Lepisosteus oculatus: one gene and its partner. The main gene of each other region encodes a partner of the protein of the gene in region 2 in a complex. Links are inferred from orthologs where the notes say so. Each region holds a gene or a part of one and is shown on either strand. Other genes may lie near its edges.

The links. The genes of interacting proteins can lie anywhere in the genome.
Region 1: apooa (region 2) and micos13 share a complex: the UniProt entries of both Homo sapiens proteins name them as parts of the mitochondrial contact site and cristae organizing system (MICOS) complex. The link is inferred for Lepisosteus oculatus from reciprocal best matches to the Homo sapiens genes APOO and MICOS13.

The regions. Positions count from the first base shown.
Region 1 is NC_090724.1:7,890,542-7,897,872, reverse strand, and holds the start of micos13 (MICOS complex subunit MIC13), read left to right. Parts: upstream 1-4,330; 5' UTR 4,331-4,506; coding exon 4,507-4,535; intron 4,536-5,682; coding exon 5,683-5,839; intron 5,840-6,359; coding exon 6,360-6,411; intron 6,412-7,257; coding exon 7,258-7,331. Other genes in the region: hsd11b1la (hydroxysteroid 11-beta-dehydrogenase 1-like protein), read right to left, coding at 881-968. UniProt on the Homo sapiens protein: Component of the MICOS complex, a large protein complex of the mitochondrial inner membrane that plays crucial roles in the maintenance of crista junctions, inner membrane architecture, and formation of contact sites to the outer membrane.
Region 2 is NC_090700.1:4,357,848-4,365,568, reverse strand, and holds the start of apooa (apolipoprotein O, a), read right to left. Parts: upstream 3,014-7,721; 5' UTR 2,915-3,013; coding exon 2,885-2,914; intron 1-2,884. Other genes in the region: c5hxorf58 (uncharacterized protein CXorf58 homolog), read left to right, coding at 3,189-3,193, 3,758-3,920, 4,757-4,851, 5,630-5,732, 5,820-5,951, 6,063-6,295, 6,778-6,931, 7,271-7,477. UniProt on the Homo sapiens protein: Component of the MICOS complex, a large protein complex of the mitochondrial inner membrane that plays crucial roles in the maintenance of crista junctions, inner membrane architecture, and formation of contact sites to the outer membrane.

The sequences.
Region 1 (7,331 bases), on a different chromosome or scaffold from region 2:
CTAAATGTAGAACTTCCAGTTAAATGGTGTACAATAAAGCCATTAATACCTATTTAAAATGTAGACTTGCTTTCGCTCGTTATTGATAGGCTTCGGGGCTTCTCCGCTTAATTTTATATCCCCCTAATAAATGAATTAAGGCAGAGGACATCATAAATAATTATTATCTCGTCCGGCACAAAATGAACTTCGCGCTTGAAACGGTTTGCGGCACCGCGCTTGTTCTGTGCGCGATTTGAAAACGTGTCGACTGGAACACTTGTAGGCGTCTTAGAAACCCGAAGGTGCCGAAATCGAATTCGTGTTGGTCCTCAGACCCTTCAGGGACTCCCCACCTTAATTCGTCCATTCACCCCGGTGGCTTTGAAATTTCCTTTCGTACTGTACGCGTATGCACACTGTGTTGTTTTATTCACTGACAAGGTTTAAAGTATTTTGAGTTTACAGAACATTCTCTGTTTCAGTTTGTAGAAAGGTCTACGTTAAACAACATGGGAACAAGCAATAGGTTTATTCCAGGCTGAAAAGAGAAGAAAGAAAACACAACGTTTCGGAGCCTTGTGCAGGTGTGTTAAATGACATGTCCTTCTTTGCTGATTGATCACGGTGTACAGTGCGACAAGGAAATAGGGAAGAAGTCTTGAAGAGAGAGCTGGAAATGTAACTTTTAAAAAGAGAATATCCGTCTCCATTCGTTTCCATCCTTTCAGTGTCTAACCACACTTTCACGAATCCAGTTAACGATTCCTCTGATGTCGAAAACATCTTGTGAATCTCGCACAGCGTGTGAAAGGACAGTCGCTTTCCCAGCTGCTGCGCACAACCGGGGCTCTCCGGTACGGTAGCAGCAACTTCGAGGCGACGGAAAGAAACGTCTCACCTGCGTCAAACGTGTCTCTCCAGAGGAACGACAGCAGCGCTGCGCACACAGCTGTGGTGACCAGGATAACCTTAACAGGTCGATTCATGGCAAAGCGTTTAGGGGGAGGAAAAAATATGTAACTGCAGTCGCCCTGAGACCAAACCTCTCCGGACCTCTTCTTGCAGATCTTCGCTTGTCCTGCAGCTCGAGCGCTTGTGAGGGTTCCGAGGAGAGAGGGGGAGTTATGACGCCGTCAGGAAGTGGCAATTCTCTATCGCAAACACGCAACCAACTCAGCGCGTCTTTAAAAAAACAATCACCTGCATTCTTACCACCCTGGCTTAGCACAGACATTATTTTGATCAGCACACATACTATTGCATGAAAACACTCGATTCGATTGTACAAAAAGACAGGAAAAGCCATTAACGTGTGGTTTAAAGTGAATATCCACCGTCCGGTAAACTGATAGAGAGGTTAGCGTTCGTGTGCGCTTTAAAACCTTTCTGTTCGGTTGATGGCAATTACTGTGGTCTAACTCTAAAAACACGTCTTTCTCAAAATGAAAGCAACGGGCATTGATCTGGCACATTGCGAACGCACTTATTTCCACTTCAATCATATATCTTTATATGATTGATTTGGAAAAAAAAACATTTAGGGTGCACAGTTTTCTCTTTACTTGTTCTTTCGCAGCCGACAAATGCTGACACAGGACCCTACTCGATTCTGGACCGATGATCAAGTTTAGGATGCATCATTCCAGTGGAAATGTGAATATACAGTCATATGGCAGAATAGATACTGGCCACCTAACTGACTTGTTGCTCTTTTGCAAGTACTTGTCAACATGTATCACAAAGCTTTGACCTTGTTAATACAGCCCTGCTTGATATTCATATTCTGAGGCACTGGAACTGACTCAAAGCCATCAAAACTTTCTGCTTCTAGGCAGTAATGTCGGACCTGTGCAATTGTTCCAATAATTCCACACACTCTGTAATGTCTCTAACTTTGAAGCGTGTGAGCAATGTCCTCTTCAGTAGTTTGCAATAGTACAGCAAACAGGTAAAGCAGCGAGGAGAATCGTGTAAAAGACTCTATTGGTTTGTGTCTGAGACAGATTTTGTTTTGTCTCAATTGCTTCCAAGTACGTCTCCTGTATCTATAACCAGAGTGACTTTTGAGCCCCAGACTAAGAGAGTGATCCTGCCTCAGCCTAGCAGGTTCAATGTCTTGCCTTGACAGTGACCATGGGGGGGGGCGGCACTCAGGCAGTCATCACATTGACACTTGAGCACCTTTTTAAACCCACAGCTATCACTTAAAAGAGGCAATTGACAATATTGCATTGATTAGTAAACGAGATTGATCTGTTTTTCAATCTATACGGTATTTCCAAGACCTGGTCTAGTTCCTGGGGACACAGGTTAGATTTATATTAACATTCAGGCAGTTGAATTGTCTGCGGGAACATTGCATGAACAATACATTGCTTTTATAAATATAATACAGATTCATTCTGTACAGTCATGTCCTCAATTCAACTTATAAATCAAGTATCATCTACTATTACTGTAATTAATCATATGTAGAGGATTTAAAATCCCCTTTGTTATAAGGTTTTGTTGTCCAAATATTTTTATTGTACAAATACAGCAGCTTTAATAAGCAATAGCTAATTTTCCATTCACAGTGAGGGTCAATACTAATCAGAACTACCAATGATTAGCCTCTTCATGATACCAGCACATGCACTGAAATGAGGAAGAATGCAGTGTGTTTCATTTTCTAATTGACAGAGTATTCGCAAGTCTTCCCTCCTTTTTGGGGTTATATGATTAAAAATAAGAGTTCCAGCGTTCCCTTGTGCAAATCTCCAGAGCTCACACACTGTCGATGGCCACAGCTCATCACTGATAACAAGACTGTGCTTAGTGCTGTTATGGTCACATCTAATACACTGTCCCTCCTTATCTATGAACTGCAACCTTGGAGAGGATAATTGAGAGACCCAGCAATGTATTTGAGATTCAAAGCTCTTCCAAATTCCAAATATACCAATACCAGCCTTTCCTGTGTCTGTGGTTATTCCCTCTGCATGATCTACTTAGCAACAGCTGTGATTTTTGAAGGCAGTGACACAGTAAGAATTAGAATCCAAGAAGCAGCCCTTGTTTTGTAATGGATCATGTTTCTAGAACCGTCCGGAAGAGTGGCATGACAGTTAACACAACTTCCTCACAGGTCTAGGGTCCTGGGGTCCATTCTGAAGCATCGTCTGTGTGGAGTTTGCATGGTTCCCCTTTGGCGTTTTTATCTGGAGCTCCCCCCACACACACACACCTTCCAAAGACACACCAGTTAACATAGCCGGCATCTCTCGGTTGTTGCCTTGTGCAGGTGTGAGCGTGTCGAGCAAAGAGCAGCGTCCCCACAGATCTGCAGTCCCACCTCCAAATGCCTGTTACATTCCCCGAGTGGAACAAAACTCCACACCTTTCATGTACTCAAGCCAAAGCAGTTGTCTCGTTCAAATCGCCCTTAATACGGAATCGGTTAAGAACTGGAAAGAGGAGAAACAAAAAGCTCACGTCTTAAGTATTTACATCATTCTTGCCGCCAGTGAACAGGTGCGTGGAGGAAACTCCCTGCTTGGTATTTTTACTCCCTGAGTGAAGTGAGGCGCTCCTGATTCGACTTGCTGCCCTCCTGGTAGTCACACAGTTAAAACTCTTTGTTTTGCTTCACGTCTCCGAATCGTCTGTGTGTCTAACCAGTGACAGGCTGTTGGCAAATCGTGTACCGATAGTAGCGTTTTGCACATTATCACGTTGAAACCTACTGGGAGATAAAGGTTAGCTTGAAAAATGAAAACAAGTTAAATGAATCGATCCGCTTTTCTTACCCAACGTGTTAGGCATCCGTAAAATCTAAACATAATTTATTTTACAAATAAAATAGTGACTCAAAGACTCAATAAACCGATTGAATCTGTATTAGAACGGTAAATTAAGGAGTCAGGAATGTTTACCTTGTAAGAATTTGATATCATCACAGTTACAACACGCTGTTGCTTTTTATTTTGTTATATAATTTAAGAGTAATTCCTTATTCATTTTAGTAACCCAGTATGAATTTGGACAGGAACAGTTCATAGACAGGTTTTGAGTATGTAATGGTACGAGTTCAAGAGACTGTAGTTCACTACAGAGTGAGGGTTGCGCACAGCCTCACGGTGAGAGAATCTGTAAAGGACTACATTTCCCAGAACCCACTTGCAAAGATTAGTGCGGTCTTCGATTATGCATGTTTGAAGAAGTCTCTACAAAAATAAATGTTGAGAATGCATATTAATTGAGGGAAAGAATTATGAAAGTCCTAAATTTAAATAATCTTAATTTGAAAGAATCTGCTTTGTCCGATGTAAAACGGTAACCTCTAAAGGGGAGTCGAAGGTCATCTTGAAAAAACTTTATTGAGATATACGGCAAACACACATTGGTACTGCCTTCTCGATGTCCTTGTAAATGCGAATGCAGACTACGGTTTTTAAAACACCTGGGCTGCAAATATATTCGTTTATTTAACAATCCGTTTCTGCTCGGTCATTGTTACGTTTGTTTCTACTTCGTTTTTGGCTCATGGCTCCCAGGATTTTCCCATTAATAAAGTAAGTTGATTCCTCCGGCCTCCTTGTGACAGCACTATACAAAGTTCAAGTTTCAATGTATGTCAATTTTTTCTGCTAGTTGCTGTGAAAATAATGTCACGATCCATGTGTAGGCGGTGAAATCTAGTACTACGTAGATGTGAAATAAACTAGCAGTGAAATTCAAGCTCGGCTGTTCTGAACATGACTTGAAAGTGCGTTTTCTTTTAATCGTATCTGTATACAGTCCTTAGTGATAACAAACTGTGCGTTAGCGGTGTAGGTTTAATGCTCAGTTATAGCAGATTTGTTAAACTATTGCTGTGAAGTAGTGATATATAAAGAAATACCAATTTAAATAACTACGCCATGGAGCTGCGTTCCTAACTCCTAAACTGCACACATCTGTGAACACGCCCAAATTACACTTCCAATTAACCCCCCCTCTGAGTGGTGAGGACGCTGGAGAACTAGAAGTCTCCCTAGCTTGGTTGAACCTAGATTTACCATTACAAATTAGGATTGTTTAGCAATCAAGTTCAGCATCATATTGAAATTATGTGCTGGGATAAAGCATATTAGGAAAATCTCACCCAGCCAGTTTTTAAAAGGATTTCAATATCACCATGAGAAACAGACCTGGATGCTTGTTCCAGACTCCCACAGCTCTTTGTGTAATGTGGCACTTTCTGTTGTCAATCTTAAATGCACTTACCCTAAGATTCAATGGTTGTCTTGTTAGTTTTTTGGATAAAAGCAACAGGGTGACACAGTGGTTAGCAGGGCTGCCTCTCAGAGCTGGGGTCCAGGGTTCAATTCCTAGGGTTCTGTCTGTGTGGAGTTTGCATGGTCTCCCTGGGTTTGCATGGGTTTCCTCCCACAGTCCACTCCCACTGGTAGGTTAACTGTCTCCTGGAAAAATTGGTCTTGGAGTGAGTGAGTGCGTGTGTGTTTGTCCTGTGATGGACTGGCATCCTGTCCAGGGTGTACCCTGCCTTGCGCCCAGTGCTTGCTGGGATAGACTCTGGTTCTCTTGAAAACCCTGTACTGGCTAAATCAGTTAGGAAATGGATTGATAAAAGCAACCCGTTGTACGTTCTCATTCAATCCATTTATTAAAAACAAAGGCTTTCATTTAGATGTTGTGTGGTTTGTCTGTGGCATGCAGGCTGGTCACCAAGGTGGGTGTGGCCGGCGGGGCAGTGTACGTGGCCTATGACCAGAGGTTGCTGGGGGACAGTGTCCAGGGCTCAGAGGTGCTGACCAAGGCCAAAGCTGCCATCCCCCCTGCTGTGGACGAGTGGATGAAGTACTTCGGATGGGAGGTGAGGCCAAGATCTTGTGTTTGTGCCGACATACTGGGTGCTTGTGAAGCAGCCAAGCACTGGTGCGGTTTTACTGTGCCAGTGTCGTGCAGTGCTGTATTTTGGCTTTCATGATTTCTTTTAGAGAGATAAGTCCCATCTCCGAACCCTCAGGTGTAGGGCACAGCCCTTGTGTTTCGAAAAACATCTTTCATTCCTACGTAATCAACATAATTATCTGGATAGGAAGTATAATTACTCCGGTTTTGAAGGCCCACTTTTTGGTGGAAAAGTCCCACATCCAGCACAAGAGATCAACTCGGGGACTGTATTAAACATTAACAGAGGTGCAGGAAGTAAACTTCCACCAAAAACCCTGGGATCACAAGACCCCGAATCAAGAACTGACTAAATAAAGTTTGTGATTCGGAGACAAGGTCCTTTCTAAAGGCTGTAACTAGCTTTACTGGTGTTGGTGCTGAGAGGCTGTTGTCGATGCAATGTTTAACCATCATGTTCTCCTCTTCCCTTATTACTGCAGCTTCCTTCTCCTCCCAAAATAGAGTTTTCCGCTTTGGAAACGTGGAATACCGGTAAGAGCTTACGTAGTGCAGGAATGCTACAGCAAACAAACTCTCAGTTTTTCTAGTTTTGTGTGTACTAGCAGGTTCATCCTTGATCTGGAAAGGGGGAGCAGTCCCAGTTTCCCAGACCGGTTATTGAATCTCGGTAACCAAATAAATTCAGTGACAGTATAGCAAAACAAAAATGTACACATTTTGAATTGGGCACAAAAAGTGTGAACTTTGTGAAAGTGCTATAAGTAGCCATAGTGTTGCAAACCCCAGGTCTCGGCACGGGCGAGAGCGAGAGTTCACGAGAATTCTGACACGGGGAGGCCCTTCCTGCTCACTAGTCCCTGTAATGACTGATGTGATTTGTGAGCGAATAACTACAGGTTGTGCAGCAGACATTTCACCCCCAGGCATCTTCCCAACATGAGTTAACGAGTAAGTCTCATTTATCGGCAAAATCGTCTCGAAGTTGAGAGCAATGTCTCCATGGGATTTAAAGAGACGTACCCACAAGCCTGCTGGTTTACAACGTAAGGGAGCTGCAACACGGCGCCCTGCCTCGTTCTGGATCGCAGAACATGGCGCTGCGCTCACCTGGAGCTTTCGGGGAATTTTGTGAAGCGAATTGGAGGTTTTACAAGTTACTGTGTCCATCTGACTTTCATTGCGGTTTGAAGTGCGCCCATCAATGGCGATTCTTTCTAAAACAGAAATAGAAAAATGGTGCTGCCGTTCCCCTTTGAGTGGCTGAATGCTGTCAAACAGGCTGCAGATGGGAAGGGCTCGCTGGCGTTCTGACTGACGGACAATCCCATGCCCGGCTCCGGCTATCCTGAGTGACCGCGTCTCCCCGTTTTCTTCCAGGCGTTCAGAAGCTGACGCAGACCCTCTCCGTCGCCCCCACGCGAGCATGCGAGTACACCAGCCAAGGCTGGCAG
Region 2 (7,721 bases):
CAACAGTGCGGCGCCGGCAGTACGGTCTCGCCGATCTCCAGACAGTAAAACACAATATGTTTCACATTTGAAAACACCCCGACTTCGTATGTTTCTGAGCCTCGACAATATCTCCCCCTAGCGGACAAAATATATACTTACAGCACCAGGAGAACCGCAAAACGTGGGTCTGGTTTTCTCAAACTAACGCATTTATAAAGCGCCACTGCAAACCCCAAGACGCCGTACATAGTGATAAAGGAGAAAAAAATACAAGAAAAAGCAAGAAAAATGAAACAAGAAAAAACTGCAAGGCAATCAGACGCAGGCCCTAGTAAAAATGTGAGTTTTACCTTGAGTTTAGATTTGAAAAGAACAAGATTTATTCCTGGGTACAGTGAGCACAGGACCAGCCTCAGCTGAGCGGAGCCAACAGGAGGGAGTGGAACCACGGAGGAGTTCAGAGATGGATGATGGAACCAGACAATTTGCAGCCTTAAAAGTCAGTAACAAGATCTTATATTGTATACTTGACTTTATGGGCAACCAGTGAAGAGATTTAAGAATAGGAGTGATGTGCTGTGAGGGTCTGGTGTGAGTCAGTCATCTGGCTGCAGTTTTGGACATACTGTAGTGCAACCTACGGAGAAGAGTGTTAGGGAGCCACAGAGTAAAGAGCAGCAGAAATCAAGCGTTGGTGTTATAAATGCAGGAATCAAGCAGGCAGAATCAGACATAGATAGCAGTTGTGAATTAGAAGAGCGAAGGTTGTGAGGTGGGGAGTAGGGCGATAATAGATCAGACAGGTGAGCATCAGGCTTTTAAAGATGACATGGAATTGGATAGGAAACCAGTGCAGGGACTCCAGGATAGGAGTAATGTGATCACTTGCACTAGACCTGGTCAGGTCCAAAATTTTGGACATACTGGAGTTCATTCAATGTAGATTTAGATACCCCTAGTGAGTTAGAGCAAGAGATAAGTGACAGAGATCAGAAGAGGAAGAAGTTTTAACGTAAATCTGAATAGCATCTTCGTGACAGTGAGACTGAAGACCATGTTTGTGTACGATCTGCCCAAGAGGAAGCATGTAAGTAATAAAGAGCGAAGGGCCCAAGACTGAACCCTGCAGCACACCGTGATCGACTTGGGGCCATGGGGGATTTACAAGGACCAAGACAAACAAAACACTGCCTACCAGTCGGACAAGAGTGAAACATGTTTAAGACAGTAGCATTGATAGACAAATATGAATGATTTACCGTATCAAAACCACACTAAGATCAAGAAGAATAAAAAATATCTCCTAGCCCCAAAGTAAGACGCAACAAGCGAATTACAATTTAGAGCTGCACCTGTAACATGCATCAAGCTTTAATGGATACAATTTAAATGTTTTATCTTTTATTTCTTGGTGTGTAAAAGATTGATAAGTATGGTTTTCTGTAAAAAAGGGTATAATGGCTTGCCTTTCCAGCACAGGTGTGTTTTGTTCACAGATGAATACAACAGGGTCAGGCACGCAGTGGGGGGAGTTGTTGAGACTGCAACACGCTGGCTTGAGGCAGAATTCAATCCTGTTTAAACCCTCTGTTGCTCAGGCACACCTGCCTCTGTGTTGTTTTCATAGTTCAGGCCGGCATGTTATCATCCCTATCTGCTGTATATACTGTAGCAAGCCTTGCGAGTTCAATTCTCTACATACTGAGGTTCTGATGGCCTACAGTTTCAAGGTGGTATCCTTTTGCAGCAGCAGCTTAATAAGTCTTTTCGAGAAGGAATCTGATACAACCCTTGAGCGATAACACATCACAGCGTATCTCTGGGTAACAAAATCAGCTCCCATTACAGCTGCTCCTTCTACACCAGCGTAGAGTAGCATGTGTCATCCGAGCCCCTTGTGGAAAAGCAACAACAAGGCAACGTCGCTCCGTTTTAATCCTTTATTTAATGAGATATGTCGGCTGAGAACAAATTCTAAGTCAACGACGACGAGCTTGGCCAAGAGACCCAGGCCATTGCTGCGCAGAAGACAACGCGATGAAGGAAAGACAACGGCGATCGACAGAAAGAAAACCAGGTACCAGGCTATAACCGAACAGTGTTAACAAGGGCAAGTGTCAGGCAGGAGAGTTTCAATCACACAAAGCTGGACAGCCTCAGCTCTCTCCCTGCACGCTGGTCCAGTCACCGCCACCGTCACAAGCATGACTCGCCCCCAAAGCAGGTAGTTGTTACTGAGGCAGCAAATGGAATGACCAATAGAGCAATACTCCGACGAGATACACTGTAGATTTCTGGTTAAAATTAAAAACGCTCTTTGAGCTAAGTGTTTTAGCCAGCCAGTGTCACACAAGTGTAGGAAAAACAGCTAGGAACGACTAACTTCCTGTCCCTACAGCTGTAAAACCGAAACCTGGACGGCACCAGTCAGGTGATATTTTGCGACAAGCTAACGAGTCTCAATCTATTTCAAAGCATCTAGGCGGCCAGATCCGGAAGAACTGGGATTCCGGGTCCTCAACATAGCTGGGATGAAAAACGATGGCGAGATGAACACCTTCCGAGATAACACAGACAAAGGCGCAAGCCCACGATTTTCAACTGCTGGTCAATACTTATCAAAAAGCATCAAAACGAGGCCGGGTTGGGAACTGCGTTACTGGCAAATTCTGCAAGCATTAAAGCACGTCCTTCTTGGGTATCTTACTACCAGCATGGCTAAAACCCTCTCTTGTGCTGTACCGCCCTACTGCTCAGACTTCCACTGTAACACGACACTTTATTACAAAACCCAAAGTTAGAAAAGCTCCTTAAAATGCTTCTGTTTGAGGACATAGCATCTTGGATTGCATCTCCAGTACGACTGAATAGACATATATTTTTTGGCAAAGTTTGTTCTCACCTTGTACATAGTCCTTCTCGGCGGCGCCATGCGATACGTCCTACGGCGGCCGAAGACGGACACACCTCCTCCGCGCACGGCCTCGCCTTGGCTACACAGCGCCCCCGCCTGGCCGCCGATCACAGGTGCACCGACACGTCAAGGTTGTATCCCCTAGCAACACACGCAAACGCAGCGTAGAGGTTGCGCGCACCCAGGACCCCGAAACTAATGCAAAGCGCAAAGCACCCCTTATGTTTATTCGAGACATGTAGGGAAATTATAGAAGAACGTTTCCAAGGGCACGTTCAACCGTTTAGCATTTATGATGTAAGTACTCGCTTGCACTGTTTCTCTTTAAGACTTAGCTAGTTTTTTTTAATGGAGAATTGTGTTAAATGACCTACGAAATAGTTTTTTTTTTCTCCGATCCGGAAAGATATTTTTCTTTTTCTTAGGCGTTTTTGTCTATTCATATCCTTATTTTTCGTTTTTTTTCCCGTATATAGGACGTTCTGTAGTATACATAAAACAAGTCGGATCTGAATGGGTAACAGTCTCCCGAGCAGACGTACAGTGGGTAACATCGTGTCACCACTGGTGATAACTAAAAAGGCATCCTCTTAAAAAAAAAAGCACAGCTCGCTATCAGTTTTTAGCTGTGCTCTGACCGGCTGTGCTTACCATCATTGGAAAGGTATTTCATATTATGATTCAGCAACTATTATTATTGCCGAAGAAGTGTTCGCGCTGCGTCTTGGTTTATGCCACGCTGGAAAGAGAAGAGACACCCCGTTTGGACTGCAGGGCTTTGTGCGTGTGCTCCTTTCCTGTCTGCGTGAAATAAACCTTTGCCCGTTCCGTGAGTGTGGTTGCATCTGTTTGCCTCCATAGTGAACTGCGTTCCTCCCCGTGTGCGTCCTTCACTGTCCTTTCCCCAGACGACCACATGGACCACATGGACCTCGGTGCCGCCGCCCGCAGGATCCAGCGGCGCTGGCGCTCGCACCGGGACCGGCGCCTGTTCCGCCTGCTGAAGCACACGGTCTGCGCGGCGGTAGGGAGGGCGCGCCGCTGTGAGGTCCAGCCGGACCCTGTCTGAAGTCACGCACGGCTAAATCAAACCCTGGCGCTGGCGTGCCGCTTCAGGGTCGTTACAACTAGGTTTCTGCTGCAAACGGTTCAACGTTTGCAGCACAAGTACTGAGAGAGAGAGAATGTATACTGAGAGAGAGAGAATGTATATGTCGATATTATATAATATGTCTTTGTTGTAAATGTCTGTAACATGTCTGTAGATTTTATTTTACTTCTATTTTTTGTTTTGTTCTATGTTAATTTTATTATTTTTATTTGCTTTGGCAACACTGATTGTACCCATCGGTCATGCTAATAAAGCACCTTGAATTGAATTGAATTGAGAGAGAGAGAGTAGTTCTAGGATTGGGGGCAGGGGGTAAAGGAAGATTAACTGCAAACAGGATCACAAATAGAGGTTTAAGTGAGGCCCTGCCGAAATAACTTGATTTTGCTTGCTTGAGCGATCTTGTGAAGTCAGTATGTGTGTCGTGAAGGGCTAAGTCTCTTGACCAGGACGATTTCACATAATACACAAAAAAATAATGTTCTTAACTGGGTCAATTATGTGTTAATATAAGTATGGAACAAGTCATAGGTTTATTCCATGCCGGAAAAAAAAAAGACAAACACGTTTCGGCCGTGGAGCCTTCTTCAGGTGTGAGAGATATATTAATATATATTTACGATTAGTTCTAGTGCGTTTGCCCACAGAAAAAGAAACCTTCTGTTGTTGAGGATGAAACTGGTGTGGAGATGGAGCTGCGGGGGTCCGCGGTGGGGAAGGGTTTGTGTGATGCGCTGTCCGTCCCCCAGGAGCACTGCCTGACCCCAGAGGTCCTGCGCAAGGTCAGCCCCCGCGAGGCCGAGCTGCTGAGGGACCCCAGCCTGCAGTGCACGGTCCGCTTCAGGTACCGTCCCCCTGCGGGGGCTACAGGCGCCTGACGTGATCCCACAGACTCCGGCTCCCCCCCGGCTGAACCTGCGGGTCCTCTCGTACCGAGCAGGATAGCTAGTGCACCCAGACATCGTCCGCAGGGTAAAACGCACCCGTCTCACGGCGTGGCTGATGCCAACCGACTGCACAATCCAGGAAGGGTGAACGAGTCGAACCAGCAGACGACACTGTGAACCAGCAGGGCTGTAACCCTGATCTGTAGGCCTGAACACAGTCGCCCCACAGCTGCAGGGGGTGTGGAAGGGCAAACACCAGACACCGTCGTACAGGAGCCAGTGACGGGAAACGAGCAGAAAACACTTTTCAGTACTTGTTGGGTGTGCTTTATTCTTATTATTGATGTGGCACTTTAATTCTAACTTCAAAACGAGTAGAACTTGGGATCAGCCCAGACCTTCCGGGTCTTAAGACCAAAGCATTTTGGAATCACATTACATTGCGATTTGCATTTAATTTTAGAAGTGTCATAACTTTTTTATGAAGCACCTTTCCAAACCCAAGAACGCTGTACATGGTGATAAAGGAAAAGACAAAAAATACACGAAAAAGTAAAAGAATGCAGGTTCATACAGATAGGATGTAGGGCAATCAGACACAGGCCATGGTAAAGTTTTGAGTTTGGATTTGAAGCTACCTACAGAGCAAACAACACGCAGGACATAATATTAAGTATTAAACTGGAAAGTATCGAAACAGCTTCTAATTGAGCCTGTCCTGGGTTTCAATTGCAGGTTTTGTGGTTCAGAGTTCCCTCCTGTGATTGTGTTCAAGATCTTTCACCACAGAGGAGGGAGCAAATACTTCAGTGGGAGCGCGATCCGCCCGGCGAGCGAGGTAATCCAGCTCCCACAGAGCACGCTCCCTCCCCAGCGCCCCGCCGCGCACGCCCATCTCGCCCTGGTCTCCCTCTCTCCCCCCCAGGCCGCGTCCGACGCCTGCAGGATGATGGGCAGGAGGGCCTTCTTCAGCCAGCTCAGGCTGGACAACGCCCAGCGGGCGAGGTGGAGGATAGTGGACGTGGCCGACGTCACGTGCGCGAAAGACTACATGCAGGTGGAGTACAGTCTCCGCCGTCTAGCGGGAGCGAGATACAGCGCGCGTGCAAGTCAGGGCCCGGCCCTGCTGCGCTCTGGCCGCTGAGCTCATCCTGCTTTCAAAGAACAGCGGCGAGGGCGGGAAAGACTAGGCCTGACCGAGCAAACCTCCCGTCTGCAGTACAACAGCCACCTGGACGAGACGCCGGCGTGCCTGGGAGGACGAGAGAACACCTGGAGGACCCTGTCTCTGGAGGGGCTGCGCAGAACTCCCCTGGCATGCCCTGCAGACCCCGCCCTGTTGGGGGCGCTGTGGCACAACAGGGCAGGACCAAACCAGCCTGGGCCCCCTCAGCAGCTCAGGTAGGACCGCGGACTGGCCTTCCTTTCAGCAGCTGAAGGTTATGGTTGCTGAAATGCAAATAAAGAAATGGGCTGCATGCACTTAAACTTGCTTAAAAGGGTATTTTTGTATTAAACTTGCTTAAAAGGGTATTTTTGCAGTAAAAACAAAGCAAGAAAGCATTTTATAGAAGGCAGTTGGGCAGCCCTGCATCACTGCCAGTGATAAGACTGTCATTCCTTGGTGCTAACTGAAATCCCATTATAAGACTATTTTGTGAGAAGCTAAAGGACAGTCCTAGTGTTCCAGGTAGTAAAACTGACTGGTCTGTCCTGTTTGCTCCCAGACGTGTCTCGGTGGCTGTCAGTATTGGATAGCTGAACCTTTTGTATAATCTCAGACCCACGATGAAGCTTATCAAGTCTTATTTCTTTTGGGGGGTCGAAGCTGCCAGCTGAGGGCCGAGGGTGTCCCCCACATGAGCGTGTCCCTGCCTCCGCAGATCCCCTGCAGTCCCTCCCTCCTCGGTCGCCTCCGCGAGAAGGCCCGGCCCGCCGCAGCCCGTCAGTGCCAAGCCCTCGTCCCGGCGGTCCAGCAGAGCCCGGCACACAGCTGCCAAGATGAGGGATCTGTACTCTCTGCAGCGCGACAGGAAGGTGAGAAGGGCCGCAGGGCCATTTTCTGTGATTCTGCTTTCAGTTTAGCTCCAACACCCTTTTTACTTGTACAGTGGTGCATCTATAAGCAGCCCCGCTCACAGAGGGCCCTTGAGGTACCCCAAGTTGTCACACCTCACTTCATAACGGAATTCAGTCCGGATTTGACCTCCTGTGCCTTTCTGAGGTCATAACGCCCCCACTGCTGCCATGTGAGTGCAGCTCCTCCATGGAGCCTTGACAGTGGTCAGCCCCCACCTCCTGCCCGGCCCACAACACAAGGCACAGTCTTCATCACTCCAGCTTGGTCACAGCAACCTTTTTATATCTTTCCCATAGGAGGATGAGGAGGAGCGGGCTTCTCCACATGTGGCGGTCCTTGCTGAGCTCCAGGACGTCATTCCAGCGGATATCCCCGGAGACGAAGCCCGGTTCTCTGAAGAAGAGTGGGAGGAAGAGGCGGAGAGGCTCTACTCCTGGACTAAACAGCTTTCCCTTGATGATCTGGGCATGGCCTCACCTGCCTGCACACCCGAGAAGATATAAAACCCAGCCACGATGACCAGAGAACCCTCACTATTCATCTACGCACTCCAAACTATAAATTTCACACTCTGACTCCATTCAAGGCCTTAGTCCTCTACACACAGAACTGTACTGTCTTTCACCAGCTATCCTGTGGCGTTTTGTTCAGAAACCCCTTGTACACAAAAAGTATACTGTCGGGAAATTCTTCCACTACCCTAAATACATTTCAGCAATGTTCCAGCCAGTTCTTCCTCCTCGTGGT